Linked DNA regions of Nothobranchius furzeri. The protein of the gene in region 1 interacts with the protein of each later gene in a pairwise test. Links are inferred from orthologs where the notes say so. Each region holds a gene or a part of one and is shown in the gene's direction. Other genes may lie near its edges.

Region 1 (3,214 bases):
GATGGTAAACTACTATGTAGCCACAGCTGCCCTGGGGCAGTCTGACAGAGACCAGGCTGCCTTTTTGCGTGATCGACCCCTCTGACCACCACCAACAAAGACAAGTTAAGCCGGGCGTACACTGTGCGACTTTTTCAATTTTTTGAGCCGATTTTCCAGTCGTGCGAGAATCCACGAGATCGGGGCGAGTTTTGCGCCGAGCGTCGTGTAGTGTACAGGGGGTTACGAGAGGCGATTAACACCACGTGACCAGCTACCGATCAGCAGTCGTGAGCTCGCACGGACTTCTGGCGTGTTTAATATTTTGCTCGTCCCTCGTGAGGGTATCGCACTGTTGAAGCGGCGCTGCGAGCAGCTGCAACCCAAAATGTATCAGAACCGCTCACGGCGCATGCGCAATCCTGCATCAACACCGTTCGCTCGCTATTTCCCTAATAACACACGTTGTCCGTTTTAATTTCTACACGTTTTTTACACACAAAGATTGTCAAGAAAGCGTGTTTGTCGTGTTCATGTCAAATTAAACTGATCACAAAACACAGATTTACTTTCTTTATTTCGTTTTCCTCATCCAACCCCCATAAATCCCTGTGCGTCCTCCTGCAGCACTCCTGAAGGACAACAGGCAAAACAAGACAAAAAAGTCTGACGTGTTGTGTAAAAACTGCTATTTTTAGCATATTTTTGGGCCGACCTGTTGCTACCAGACGTACAGTGTGAGCAGTCAGGTCGTATCCGAGAACTGGGTCGTGCAGTGTGAGCGCATGACTCGTGAGATCTGCCCTGCGAGGAAGTCGTACAGTTAGAGCTGAAGCTGAGTGCTACGAGTGAAAAAGTCGCACAGTGTCCGCCTGGCTTTAGGTGACGTGTCTTGCTCAAGGAAACAGCAGCTAAATTCTCTGCGGGGGGGGGGGGGGCATCGATCCTGCAAACCTACAATTACTCGACAACCCCGCTCTACCTCCTGAGCTACTGCTGTTGCCCTAAAAACACCCCAAATGTGAAAAATAAAACCTCCATCCGTTTTCTTTCAGTGTTTGGTTTTAGGAATTATGTGCCTAAAATGAGCTGTTTCCAAAAGTTCACATTTGTGATGTCACAACAGGAAAACCAGAATAGAGCCACTTCTCAGGTGCAAGAGAGAGGTGCTGCGGGGGGATCAGTGGCTCTATTACAAGCCTCCCATGGATGTCGGAGCCTCCCACCTAACCGTAGCTCATCAGGGGGTGGGTGGTCGTGGCCCACTAGCTTGTTTTCTTAAAGTGACAGAGCCCTGAAACGGCTCATTTAGGAAGGAACTGAAACCATCAAGAATAAAACAGCTGAAAGATCTTTATGTGGGAGGGATTTAGTGCAGACCATAGACTATTACACCTTAAGACAGAAGTCACAGTACATCCCCTTCAAACAAGAACGCCGCACTACAGCAGCTTCTCCAACCTGCACTTGAGTTTGCTGTTTAGTGTTTTGGTTCTGTGTCTTGTTGATGTTTCAGGGCGGTTTGAGGCCCATGCACCCCTCAGCCATGCATCCCTCAGCCCAAGGTCTGCTGCCTGCACCTATGGTCCAGATCCCTACTGCTAAGGTGAACCATACAAATATAAACACACGCTTTCCACCACCTGTTTTATGCTTCTTATAATCAGTGATGTAAAAATCAGCAACAATCTGCCCCGCTGTGTCACCTCTCAGCTGGCTAGTGCTGGGTTAACGGTGATGCGGACAGCCCATTAGTAGTGTTTACACAGGACTTTGTTTCTGTTGTAAACATGTGGCTCAGGTTTTGATAGTGATTCACCACCTCTCATTCTTGTTGTAAATATCTCCCTGAACAGCCTCAGTTCAGAGAAATGAAGGTCACACCGGACAGGACCGTTAAGCTAACAGCGAAAGTCTTAAAACCAATATTTCATGTAATGTTTAATCCTCCCACTTAGTCATTTAGATGGAAATCTGTTTCCGCAAGAGCATAAGTAACAGCAGGGATGTCCTGATGTTACCAAAACAAGGCTGTGTTGGAAAACGTACGTGGTAAAGGTTTATGGAGGTCACGCGTCAGTTTTCTGTTGCTGACATGTTTATAAATGAAACATCGCCCTTTTTTTAGGCGGTTTTGTTTTGTGTTTATGACCAGGCCCCCTTCCAGAGCTCTCCGCAGGGCACTCCTCGTCACAGCTTCCTGTCCCACAGCCAGAGCGGGCAGAGGTTTTACCACCATGGCAAGTAGCCCACAGCGCCCTCAGCATCCGCTTCCCGGACACTCTGGAGACGCCGTCGGACCTGGTCTTGATGTTTTAAACCTTTTTGATGTAAAGTTTGTACAGTAGCTTTCATCGCTTCTGGTTTAAAGTCCTCAAACTCGCACTTGTCTTTTTTGTTCTCACTACACTTTTAAATAGTAAATTTGTAAAATAACTGTATTACAGACCCAGAATTTTTAGTTTCTCCATAAATGATTGGAATTAGACCAATGAGACTGGTCCCGCACACATTAACTAGTTAAGCTTAAACACTTTGTCCCAAGTTTTTGTCTGTCCTCGGATGACCTTTTGTAACACGATTTGGAGGAAAACCAGCTGTAGCATAAATAAAGTTGGGTTATTTGGAATTATTCACTTAAATGTTGCTAAATAAACAAATCACTTTTCAACTGTTTTTGCCATTCTTTCCTTTTTATTGTTTGCCCACAGAGACGTCCTGCAAAGTCGGGCCTGGTTAAGTAAACTGCTGCTCTGAAAACAAATCTGTTCCAGGTTGGAGTCATTTCTTCCCAAAGTTTCTGCAAAGAGCTTCCCAGGAGTTGTTTTTGGACACAAAACAAAAGGAAGGTTGCGTTGTTCCGCATAGGCGCCAGGTGATGGAGCTGCTTCAGACCAGGTGTTGTGCAGAAATACGAATCCGCCTGCTGAACAGACCTCCACTGGAGATGAAGCCCTTCATAAATCAGGGATCAATAAAAAGAAAACACTGTCCCTCTTCTTTCTAAAGGTGATCATCTATTTTAAATATGCACACCTGTTCTGGTTTATGATCACGTAGTCGGGACGTGAACTGTGACCGAGCCCACAGGAGGGTCAGAAAACTGGAGAGAATGAAAAAAAAACGCAGACGAGTCATTAGCTCCCTTCGTTTCCATTGGTCTTGATTGCCCCTGAAACAGTTGCAAGGAAGAAAGAGAGAAAAGGGGAGGCGGAGTCAGGAACCATAAACGTAT
Region 2 (3,587 bases), on another chromosome or scaffold:
CCTGCTTTAGTTATGGGGAATGACCTGAAGCTGTTTTACTCCAAAGGTATGCTGGTATTTGTCACTAATCATTAGGGCTGAACGATCTATCGTTTGTGGATCGAAATTGCGATTTCAAACAGTACGGTCGTGACTGTCAAAGCTGCGGTTTTAGCGGTTTTGACTGATCCAGGATCAGTTGTGTAACTTTTTTTATTTTTATTTTTTTACATCCGGGGTTTTCTCCCTGTGTTATGGCGGTGGCATAAGCCAGAGCAGGGGAGGGGAGAGACTCCTCCCACATCGGAGCAGGTTCAGGCTGGTTTCTAAAGCTGGTTTATGCTTCATCAGCGTGACTGCAGAGTCGCGCACTTTAGTTGACTTGAAAGCTAAACTTCTCATTTAAAATGGTTTGAATGTTTCTGATGGCATATGTTGGTTCAAACAAGCTAAGGTGTCAGAATGTGTTCGTCTCTCTCACGGAACTGACGTTTTAGTGAGGAAAAACTATCAAGACGGCTTCGAAAAACGTGCAGCCGGCCTGCCTTGGAAATGCAGGGAAAACTGTGTGCATTTTTTTTATTTAATACATTTAAAAGCTATTTCTATCTACAGATTTCCTCCATGCATTTTTGGAGTAGAACATGTTTTTATAAACCTCCTCTCTAGATAAAAATCACAAGCACATGTTGCTTCACAAACACATTAAAAATTTAAATAAATATAATTATGGGAGAAAATATGAATAGCTTTAACTGTTTTTATTGTATGACTAAATAGTAAATATTAATGTGAATGATTTGTTGTACTAGATTAGAATCTAGACCATCTTTTCACTTAATCTATAGGATGGCTTGGCAGGCTAGTGTTGGACCTTTGTTTGCAGAAAATCGTGAATTGAACCGAAATCGCAATTTCTGCAAGAAAAATTGCAATTCAATCTTTTCCTAAAATCGTTCAGTCCCACTAAACATGGAAAAATGACTTCAAAGGTTTTATTCCAAATGCAAAATGAGACCTAAATAAATTGGAAGATATTTTTTATGGAATTTCAATAGATGAAGTGTTTGTAGAAGTTACTGATACCACTAATTAAGAAAGATTTTCAAACTACAAATATTTAGACTGGAATTTGAAAGCATACCAGCACATATTGTGACAATCCGGAGTTCTCCCTCAGAATTATGGATGATTTTCTAGAAATGTCCTGCCTGTTTTGTGATATAATGTAGGCAATGCATCTTTTTATTTATTTATTTTTTGCAAAGCCCATCCTCGTCCTGTAGAGCCTCATGCAGTTTGAAAAGTGTGCCGCTCAGCATCAGCCAGTAGTGATATCCGCCTATGTACAGATGTCAGTCAAAGAGCAGAGTTGGGGGCATTTCTCATGGACATGAATTAGCACAACTTGGGAAAATATACAAGACGGTGTGTTTCAGCCCTGTTTGCCAGCTAGAGGTGTGGCCATAAATATGGAGGTGGGGAGAATGGCTTAAGGTGCAATACATGTTTCAGCCTCTAGATGGCGGCGTCAGATAAAACAGTCCATATATCTTATGTGTTCATATGTTCTGCAAGTGCATTGGTTCAGTCCTTGAGTATGAACAATTAAGATTTTTTAAAAGCCGGGTTATACTGATTTAAGAATAACTTCATAGTAAATAGGTGACTAAAATGGATGAACCTGTGTGTACACATACCTGAGCATATCATAAAAATGTTAGCTTTAGGTTAAAATTAAAAATATGGTTTGTTTTAATTAATTTAATTGAATGTCCAAATATAACAAAGAAAAGTCTAAAGTATAAAAAATGTGTTTTAGAACCAGCAAGATGGTAGCTGTTAGCTGAAGGATAGCTGTACAGAATGAAGATGCAGTTCACACATTTCTACAACCACCATCAGCAGCAGACGGGGTGGGTTAAGTGTCTTGCTCAAGGACACAACAGAAGAATTGTCTGCCAGGGCATGGAATCAGTCCTACAACCTTCCGATTATTAGACAACCCGCTCTACCTCCTGAGCTACTGCTGAGGAATTAAGAGTGGTTTAAATCTTTTGCACAGCACGAGTCATGAAGCAGCGTTTAAAACAAACCAGCGAGAGTTTTTCAGCTGTTTAGGTTCGTCCTTCCTCTCCTTGCTGGTAGTGCGGTCAGTGTCTTTCTCTGTATTAGTTTTTCCATGTCTGCTTTTAGCTCCTGCACTCGTGTCCTGCGAGTGAAAGGAAGTGATGGTCAGTTTTAGGCCAACGCCCACTGATCCCAGTGACACTGACAAACAGGACCGATATAATAATACTAGTAAAACTGAGAAGAGGTCACTCGTTAGATATTAGAGATGATCGTCTTTAGGAGAAGCCAGCTGGAAGGTGTTGGGGGAGCTGTGCTCAATCAGAGGTGACCTCTTTTCCAAGTCCCCGTTCTCTCCCTCTGCTCTCTTTTCTCTCTCACACATCTCTCTTCCTGTTTCTATTTCGCCTCTATCGTAGTTCTGTTGTAGGAGGGAGATAAGGGCACCCTCCCTTCAGATTTAACCTCGTTTCTGCCTCTTTTTTTCACTGTTTACGTCCACAGCTGAGGGATACGCCGCCTTCCAGGAGGACAGTTCGGCAGATGAGGCGGAGAGCCCCTCCAAAATGAAGCGCTCCAAGGGAATCCACGTGTTCAAGAAGCCGAGCTTCTCCAAGAAGAAAGAGAAGGACTTTAAGGTGAAGGAGAAGGGCCCCAAAGAGGAAAAGGCCAAAGATAAAAAGTCCAAGGACCTGACGGCAGCAGATGTGGTCAAACAATGGAAGGAGAAGAAGAAGAAGAAGAAGCCTGTTGCAGAGTCAGAGCCAGTCCCAGTGGAGACCCCCACCATCAGGCCCATCTTTGGAGCCCCGCTGGGTGAAGCGTTGAAGAGGACGGCTCTGTACGACGGCATCCAGCTGCCCTCCATCTTCAGAGAATGTGTGGACTACATAGAAAACTATGGCATGAAGTGTGAGGGTATCTACCGGGTCTCAGGTATCGAACACCTTTGTTTTCCTTCAGAAGAAATCATAACACTCCTCTCTGAGTACTTCATTCATTTGTTTCCCGGCCAGGTATGAAGTCTAAGGTGGATGAACTGAAAGCCGCCTACGACCGTGAGGAGTGCCCCTGCCTGGAGGAGTACGACCCCCACACCGTCGCCAGTCTGCTGAAGCAGTACCTCAGAGAGCTGCCCGAGAACCTGCTGGGTCGAGACCTGGCCCAGAGGTTTGAGGACGCCTGCGGTCGGCAGACGGAGGCCGAGAAAGTGACGGAGTTTCAGAAGCTGTTGACTGAAGTGTCTCCTGAGAGCCGACTTCTCCTCTCCTGGCTCGTCACACACATGGACCATGTCATCGCCCGGGAGTCGGACACCAAGATGAACATTCAGAACATCTCCATCGTCCTCAACCCCACCATACAGGTCAGAGGAGGCTGTTTAGTGTCTACAAAGTACGCTACAGCCAAAGTACGGCTTAAAGAAGATAAAGCGACTTTAACTCAGACCTTCTCCTTAGCAACAAACCAACTAATTTTACGAGTTCAGTTCATCTCTGACACCATTGCCCAGTTCGGCGGGGCTAATTTATCCCCAG
Region 3 (4,337 bases), on another chromosome or scaffold:
GCTGAGGTGTGCTAATGGATTATATGCAATTATCTTAATGACTGAAGTCAGTTCTGTCTGTTAGCAAAATATCTCATGAACTTTTGAAAGTCTTTCATAAAATAATCATTAGACATACATGAACAATTTTGGACAAGCTAATGAAAGCTGTTGGATAATATGCATATAGGAAGGCATTTAATTTTAGGAATGCTATGTAAATCACATGTCTCCTTCCAGATCATTGCTATCAGATCTTTAGAACCATTGTATCTATGAGGCTAATATATATATATATATATATATATATATATATATATATATATATATATATATATATATATATAGTCATTTTGGCTCCACAGAGTTGCTGATCCTCCTTATGGAATTTCTAACTTTTGGTTTTGACAGGAAAAAAACAGGCATGAGGTTCAACTCAGCACAGGAAATAAAATAGGGTTCAAGGTAGGTTCTAGGAGTTGAGCTATTTTGCCCATTTTATCCCAATATTTGTAGTTGACAACTTATTCCATTTCAGTTCTGCTTGAGTTTGAACTACTGAAGCCCATTTTAATAAATTGTATTTTATTTGATATTTTCCAAATAGTTGTATACTTGTTTGTAGGCTATCATTGTCCACTTTAGGGACTCATAACACTTCATGGATTGCAGCAGCAGTTCAGTCTTTTCTTACAGCTGGAATGGGACTGACGAGAGAAAAGGAGCTTTAAAATGAGTGAGGGCTTGTTTCTGTTTAAATGCTACACAAATGAAGTAAAAGGTGGAAATATATATATGTGAGTGTGAAAGTTTTTATTGCAAATGATGTAACAAGAACAATGTGGAAAAACATGTTCATTTCAATTTGAATTCACAGCCACATAACAAGAATATGTATTCATATGTTTTTGTGTAATCAATTAAAATCAAAGTGTCTAAATGTGCTTTTTCACATTTTAAGAAATTATGCATTTGTACACAACAACACATTTAAATATTGTTTTTAATTTGTTCCACAGATGTGACTTTATTTGTAATAAAATTGATTTCGTAGACCATCGTGTTCATTCTCTTGTTTGGTCCGGAGGTTTTCTTATTTCTGAGGGACATTAAACACCTCAGTCGTCTGAAAGGGAGAGTGGTCAGACCTTACTCGGTCAGTTTGGTTGAGGCCCTGCCCCGGAAACACAGATTAAATTTCACAGAGAAGATGCAGATCCGTGTTTTTCAAAACAAAGTCAAGAAAAACTCTTTATATTTTGAACAATTACATTTCCAACAATACAGGTTTTCAATAAGAAGTTCTAATAATTTCCCAACAGAAATATAGAATGAAAATATATACCTAACAAAAGAAAGCTCGGGTCTCCGTGTTTATTTTGGTTCTCTTGCTTGTTTTCCCCACAGACACAAACTTATTTTGAAAAATTTTGACAGGAAGTTGGAGTTGTTGATTTTACTTTACTGAGTCTGCGCAGTGCAGCAGCAGCAAGCCCTGCCCCTCCGCCTGGCTGCTGTGTTTTCACTGTTGTTACAGACGAGCGAAGAATAAAACAGAGAGATAAGGTCATTTAATGGAAAACTGATTCAGTCTCCTCCGAAAACTCGGCCTCTGAGGAGTGAAGAGGAGAAGGAGATACGGAAGAGAACAGGAGGAGGAAGACTGGATGGAGGAAATAGGGTCTGACTGAAAATGCTCCGGATCTGACTGAAAAGGTAAGGAAATCCGCCGGATCCATACTTATTGTTAGTACAGCCTAAAGTTGTCGCTGCTGTGATGAAGCACGCCTCGGTGAGGGAGGTTCCAGCCGCAGCCTCCGCAGTCTGCAGCTCTGAATGTAGGTCATTGTGTCTTTAGGTCTTTTCAGCCGAACCGAGCCTTGCCCTGCTGGGCCGAGCCCTCCTGCAGTGAGGCTGCAGAAAAGGATGCAGCAGCAGAAACTGCAGTAACTAGATCAGGTCTGCCAGTTGTAAATGATGGAAGATTACAGGCATGGATGAGCAAATTTGGGTCGCTTGAAAATAAATTAGGGCCAAACAATCTAAAATTACCGATGTTTTCATGTAAGTAGCTGAAATAAGAGGTCCAACTAGGGTTAGGGTTAGTAAGTAGCTGAAATAAGGTCCGACTATAAACTTTATAACTACCAGGATGATCTCTCAGGTTAAAGTATTTAATCTGATCTAATCTAAACCAGGTTTAATCACTGAATGATTACAGATGGAGTTAACTGAACACAAAACTTGGACCACTCAGTCAAACAGCAGAAATGTGAACCAGGCTGAGCCGAAGCCAGCAGCTGGAATCTGCTGGGAGAAATGCCATCTGAGAGAAAATCCGCATGGAAAAGCCACTAAACCTGGTGTTCCTGCAGCACTTCAGCTGGAACCAATCAGCAGCCTCATCAGCCGCTGCTTTTCTTTCCGAGGTTACGCGTTTTGATGTTAATGTTTTTGTTGTCATGCTTTTGCAGATGTCCAGTGTTACAATGGAAGCAAATTCCATTCTTCCCATCCTCAAAAAGAAGCTGGCCTTCCTCTCAGGTGTGGGATTGTGCTTCCTTCAGCGTGACGACTTTAATATTAGTAATGTGATGTCTCTAACTGCCTACTCGTCTCTTTTTTAGGGGGCAAAGACCGCCGCAGTGGTCTGATTCTGACCATCCCCCTCAACTCAGATCAGACCAGCATGGAAGAGCTCAGCGCCACACTGGATTACTTGCTTAGCATTCCCAGGTACACACACTCATGGAAACTGTCTGTTGTGGGAAGATTTGTTTCCCCTTTTATCCCTTTGGACAAGTTTGGATCTGATGGGGGTCAAACATGTTGAGACATCCTATGTGAAGTATTTCCACACGTTCTTTAGTCCAGGAATGTTCTCGAGGTGTTCAGATTGCATGCATGGATTCCCTCCCTCATGTTTGGAGCTGTAGGAGGAACTCACCAGCAGAGTGTGAGCAGCCACGTATGAAAGAGTCCAGCTTAAACTTTCGCTAAACTCTGTTAAACTTTTCTGGTACTCCTTTGCAAATCAAACAGCAATTTTGCCGTTGTCCCCACATTTAAACAAGGTCTTGTTTGTGCATTAACAGGAAACTCATTAATACTGATATACATGACTTCTATAGATGTGTGTGGTTCTATATCAGTGGTTCTAAATAGGCGGACCCGGCCCGCGAACCGCCACTTTCTGCTGCCTTATTAAAATGAGGGGAGGCATGTCAGTCCAAACACATCCACGTCACTTCTCCTCCAGCTTCACTGGCTGCCAGTCTACTTCAGGGTTCATTTCAAGATCCTGGTTCTGGTATATAGGGCCTTACATGGACAAGCACCATCTTACATAGGTGATCTTCTCAGTCCCTACACCCCCAGCAGGTCCCTGAGGTCCAGTGATCAAAGCCTACTGGTTGTGCAGCACCAGGCTAAAGACCAAAGGTGACAGAGCATTTGCTGCTGTGGCCCCCAGACTCTGGAACTCTCTCCCCCTGAGCCTGAGATCAGTGGACTCAGTGGTGATAGGTAATTTTTCATTTATCCCAAATTACCTTAAAGGACGACTCGGAGAGAGAGAGAAGATTATTATTATTCGTAATGTCCATGAATCGTCATGCGAGAGCTGGGCGGAAACCCATCCATGGAGCTAACCAGCCCCCCTCTGTTCCTGGGGAAAGCCTTCAGCTCACCAGCTCTGCATGCCCGCATTCTCCACCAAAATGTTAGGTAATTACATGTGGGGTAATAACCCTGGAACCTGAAATAACACACATGACAACAAGGGAGACATTTTACCCTGAGTCCCCAAAATAATGGAGAGTTAACGCAGAGGAACCTCCTCCGAGGCTGTCCCCACGTCACTCCCATGTGCTTCCAGTTCGTCAGGGGCTTTTTTCACAAAGGATGGAGGAGAAGGCAGGGCCTTCTCAGGTTACAGAGGAACAGTTTTCAGTTGGAAACCCACAATCAACATCCTTGCTCAACCTTTCATGAACAGCCACAGTTGGCAAACACAGAGATTCATGAAGTGTTAATAACACAAAATGGGCATCTTTTAGGCCTCAAAAAGGTACAATTATAAAAATACCCAACAAGTGGACTCCTTTAAAAAGCAGCTGAAGACTCACTTGTTCAAGCTGGTTTTTGTATGACCTTCTTCACCACTCTCTCTTTATTCTGCTCTCCCCACCTATTCCACCTTCCTCAGGATCCACTGATTTCGCTTTTTCATATTCACACTCTCTCTTTATTAACATTTTTTAATCACAATTGTCTATTTTTGCTCATTTTAGGCATATTTTTAATCATTTTCTAAAATCTTTTTTATATTTTACATTTTTTGTGAAACGCCTTGTGAT
Region 4 (4,191 bases), on another chromosome or scaffold:
AGTGAATAACCAGTGAAATCAAACAGATAGCAAAATGAAATGGCTGGAGTTGTAACAGTTGTTTATTTGTAACAATGGTATTTATGGTAACATTATATCTGTATAATCTACTTCATAGTGTATACCTGAAAACAGTGTTTTACTGTTATTTATTTCAAAAATACTCAAGCTCTTGTCAACTGACCTCATTTTCTGTGAGTACAGTCAAACCCAGCTCTCTTAAGACATTCTTTTCAGCAAAGGAGAAGGCAGGATCATAAACATAGCAGTCCCGCAGTAAAATCTACATGGACAGGGGCAATAAAGCACATATTTTGCATCAGAGTTTCACAAGTATCATTTATAACACAGATGGAGTCGATCTTCTCACCTGTCTCGCATCCAGAAGAAGCAGCAACATGGCAAGTTGGTAGCGAGCGGCTACACATGAAGAAAAAGACCCAAGACCATAACAAACACACATCAGTGTTTCTTCTGGGGCTTTTTCCAGCTGATTTTCAGTGTCACTGTCCCCTGGAGGTTTTAGGGATGCTGCTGCTGCCTGGAAATTCTCTGAAGAGAAGATGATCCACTAAATAACTAAGCTTAACTCAACCTACATATCTACAACAAACTCACCATTCCAGTCTTTCCAAAAATCTTCGTACTTTAGTTCAAACCTAAGAAGGAAAGATATAAGCAAACCAATAACTTATGGGAAGATGTATGATTTCACCTATTATGCAAGATAAATATTGTTACTCATATATATATATATATATATATATATATATATATATATATATATATATATATGTATATATATATATATATATATATATATATATATATATATATATATATACATACATACATACATACATACATGTGTGTGTGCGTAACTTCTTACATGTTGTCTCTGATTCTTCTGATGAGTTTTCCAACATCCAGTTGCTCCTGATGGCATGATGGTGAGTTTAGAGGAACTTGATGAGATTTAAATTGCCTACATACACCTTTTCGACGCCGAGCTACCTGCCATTCATCGGATATGTACGACATTTGTGTGAATTGCCAGATGTAATTTACATAAGTACATACATTTCCAAACGTAAGTATCATAAAAACATGGAACTCAAAACCAAATTTAGCATTTTGAGAGCTGAAAGCTAAAAATGGAAACGCAGATGACCTATTCAAGTGCAACACATTGTTCTGTTTCCGGTGTGATTTCCGTCTAGTTAAAAGTCACGTAAATTCAACAGATTTGCTGTTGTTCGATTGTTTTTATTTTTAAAAAAAATATTGACCGCTTTATAAAAATGTATGTGTTGAATGGTTGGTTTTAATTAAGCTGCTTTTAAAATATTAATGAAATTATTTGTAGTGTACATTAATTGAAGTGACACGGCTAAACCGGAAGAACTTGCTTTTGACAAAAATATATCATTCGTCAACAGTTCGTGTCTCTGCAGTTCGTCTTATTACCACATAAGATATGTGTTTTTGATCTCAGACCAAGGTTGTAATTAATATTTTAGTAAGTTAACTTAAACGAAATCGTCGTTTTTTATCACTACTAACATGTTGTGTGTATTTACATTAATGCTACAGAACGTGCGTTATTGCTAGTAATTAGCCTTCGCTCCGTTTTCTTCTAAGCAGATTTGTATAGTTTTATAATCGATGTTTCACGTTTAGTCTTATTTGTGTATTCATCGTTATTGATTGTAAACCTTTTTGTCATTATTAATTTATCGTTAGTTAAACCACAAACGTTGACTTCATACCTGACTTAGTTATCGCATTTTATTTCCCTCTTCTTTGCCTTTAATAAACTAGATATGCATCTTTTTCCTGATTTTGAAGTCACAATGTTTCTTTCCTGGAAAATAAATGCACGTGTAATTTTAGGATTCGGTCACATTTCATTAAGATCTATATTGTTTATAACTTGCAGAGATGTCAATGTCCCACCTTTACGGGCGGAGGGAGGAGGAAGAGGAAGGTGTGGAGGTGGAGAGTTTTGAGATTACTGACTGGGATTTAGCCAATGAGTTCAACCCAGACCGTCGCAAATTCAGGCAGAGCAAGGAGCAGGCCACATATGGCATCTGGGCCGAGAAGGATTCTGATGAAGATGAAAGGCCCAGCTTTGGTGGCAAGAAGTATAAATGGCTTGCTTTTGACACAAATTCCAATTCTGAAACAATTTCTAACCAAATGTTCTAATAAAATATTTATGATTTCTTTTTAGATCCAAAGACTACACTGTACCTGTGAGCTTTGTGAGTGGTGGTTTGCGTAAGAGTGCTGCTGAAGAGAAAGAGCGGGAAAAAGAAGGCAGCTCTGACGACTCTGATGATGATACTTCTGCAAAACTCCCCCCTTCACGCGTGACTGCACCCAAAAAACTCCAGATGGTAATTTTTAAATGTGCGCACATTGTGATGTCCATTGTTTGTAGAAGAAAATAGTGAAAATAATGATGTTGGGAAAAAATGTTTTTCTAGGGTAATTTCTGTGGAAATCAGTCTAAGAGGTTTGCAGGTGGAATACAGTCTGGACAAGGAATTGGTAACTGGGAGAAACACACCAAAGGAATTGGACAGAAACTTCTGCAGAAGATGGGTTACCAGCCAGGGAAAGGCTTGGGGAAGAATGCTCAAGGTGTGTTTAGTTGACTTAGATTGTTCTTTTAAAAATGTTGTAAAATGTTTTGTTTTTTACATGGATGTGGTGGAATTGAAACACTTGTAATGTACTTTCTCTCTGTAGGTATCATAAACCCCATTGAGGCAAAGATCCGTAAGGGAAAAGGAGCGGTTGGTGCTTATGGCAATGAAAGAACCCAGCAGAGTCTTCAGGACTTTCCTGTAGTTGACTCAGAGGAAGAAGAGGAGAAGGTAAAGTACTGAGAAAAAAAATTGTCTTTACAATGTTGTTTTTATTTTTGTGTTTGATTTTATTGATCAAATGAGTCTATAGAGTCATTGTGGTAATTTTCTATATCTTTATATAGGAATTTCAGAAGGAACTTGGCCAGTGGCGTAAGGATCCAGCTGGGCCTGCAGGAAAAAAGAAGCCCAAGTACTCTTACAGAACAGCAGATGAGTTGAAGGCTAAAGGTAAAATAGTGAGTCGGAGCACATCTGCAACTGCAGGAGAGCTGGCACAGGTCAAGGTATGTTTATGTTTCACTTGTGTGCTGTTTGTTTTTTATGTTGGCATGGCTGCATAGGTGCAAAATTGAGGATTCAGTGTTTTATTAAGCATCAGTAATTTAAGTACATTTTGGCTACATTCATAGTACTTATTTATCCTGACATTTCCCTTGGTCTAGGTAATAGATATGACTGGAAGAGAGCAGAAGGTATACTACAGTTATAGTCAGATGTCTCACAAACACAGTGTTCCCGATGAAGCTCCACCAAGCTTGGCTTCACAGGATCAAAAGGTATCTGGCTTTGCTCTCCCCGAACTTGAGCATAATCTGCAGCTTCTGATAGACCTGACAGAACAAAACATATTACAGGTAAGAGGAAACCAAGAATTATTTACAACATATTTAGCTACAAGAATAGGATATTAATAAGTCAGCAACCTGAGAAAAATGTGAAGAACTTGTAATCTCTACTAAAGCGTTCTTTCTTTTTTTTGTGCATCTTTTGTAGTCTGCCAGACGTTTGCAGCATGAAAAAGACGTGGTTGTTTCTCTGAGCCATGAGTCAAAAGCTTTGCAGAGCAGACTGGAGTCAGAGCAAGAATCCATCCGAAGAATGGAAGCTGTCTTAGCATTAGTGGAGCGTTTTCCTTCTGAAGAGACGGCACCGGGAGAGGGCCCGACCCTACAGGTTTGTGTTACAAACACTGACTGGAGCCGGTCTGCAAGCTGTTCAAATTAAGGAGTTCCAGCTTTATATTTCATAATTGTGAAGCTGATTTGTAGTGCTTGTCTCTTCAGGAGTGTGCCCAGATCTTTGAGACATTACAAACCGATTATTATGAGGAATACAAGATGATGGGATTGGCAGATTTGGCTGTGGCTGTCATTCATCCATTGCTTAAAGAGAAACTCTCCTCCTGGGACCCTGTGAAGGTAGTCTTTTACAGTTAGAGGAAACCACATTTTTAGTAAATGATTAATATCCAAGCTAATTCTTGAACGCTTTCTGATCTTTTCAGGACAGTTCTTATTGTCTGGAGGATATC

The links.
Region 2: the proteins of gps2 (region 1) and ralbp1 interact in binary tests that used the Homo sapiens proteins (3 or more experiments, as listed by UniProt). The two-hybrid records come from large-scale screens. The link is inferred for Nothobranchius furzeri from reciprocal best matches to the Homo sapiens genes GPS2 and RALBP1.
Region 3: the proteins of gps2 (region 1) and sestd1 interact in binary tests that used the Homo sapiens proteins (3 or more experiments, as listed by UniProt). The two-hybrid records come from large-scale screens. The link is inferred for Nothobranchius furzeri from reciprocal best matches to the Homo sapiens genes GPS2 and SESTD1.
Region 4: the proteins of gps2 (region 1) and tfip11 interact in binary tests that used the Homo sapiens proteins (3 or more experiments, as listed by UniProt). The two-hybrid records come from large-scale screens. The link is inferred for Nothobranchius furzeri from reciprocal best matches to the Homo sapiens genes GPS2 and TFIP11.

The regions. Positions count from the first base shown.
Region 1 is NC_091742.1:53,242,090-53,245,303, forward strand, and holds the end of gps2 (G protein pathway suppressor 2), read left to right. Parts: intron 1-1,495; coding exon 1,496-1,585; intron 1,586-2,134; coding exon 2,135-2,227; 3' UTR 2,228-2,650; downstream 2,651-3,214. UniProt on the Homo sapiens protein: Key regulator of inflammation, lipid metabolism and mitochondrion homeostasis that acts by inhibiting the activity of the ubiquitin-conjugating enzyme UBE2N/Ubc13, thereby inhibiting 'Lys-63'-linked ubiquitination.
Region 2 is NC_091751.1:42,841,505-42,845,091, forward strand, and holds part of ralbp1 (ralA-binding protein 1), read left to right. Parts: intron 1-2,553; coding exon 2,554-2,985; intron 2,986-3,065; coding exon 3,066-3,415; intron 3,416-3,587. UniProt on the Homo sapiens protein: Multifunctional protein that functions as a downstream effector of RALA and RALB. As a GTPase-activating protein/GAP can inactivate CDC42 and RAC1 by stimulating their GTPase activity.
Region 3 is NC_091754.1:30,155,500-30,159,836, forward strand, and holds the start of sestd1 (SEC14 domain and spectrin repeat-containing protein 1), read left to right. Parts: upstream 1-1,471; 5' UTR 1,472-1,695; intron 1,696-2,453; coding exon 2,454-2,523; intron 2,524-2,606; coding exon 2,607-2,715; intron 2,716-4,337. UniProt on the Homo sapiens protein: May act as the primary docking protein directing membrane turnover and assembly of the transient receptor potential channels TRPC4 and TRPC5.
Region 4 is NC_091757.1:45,000,280-45,004,470, reverse strand, and holds the start of tfip11 (tuftelin-interacting protein 11), read left to right. Parts: upstream 1-1,391; 5' UTR 1,392-1,501; exon of another isoform or gene 1,502-1,519; intron 1,520-1,939; 5' UTR 1,940-1,941; coding exon 1,942-2,147; intron 2,148-2,236; coding exon 2,237-2,402; intron 2,403-2,492; coding exon 2,493-2,649; intron 2,650-2,757; coding exon 2,758-2,885; intron 2,886-3,001; coding exon 3,002-3,163; intron 3,164-3,322; coding exon 3,323-3,514; intron 3,515-3,653; coding exon 3,654-3,833; intron 3,834-3,943; coding exon 3,944-4,078; intron 4,079-4,164; coding exon 4,165-4,191. Other genes in the region: srrd (SRR1-like protein), read right to left, coding at 185-283, 371-552, 619-659, 890-1,101. UniProt on the Homo sapiens protein: Involved in pre-mRNA splicing, specifically in spliceosome disassembly during late-stage splicing events. Intron turnover seems to proceed through reactions in two lariat-intron associated complexes termed Intron Large (IL) and Intron Small (IS).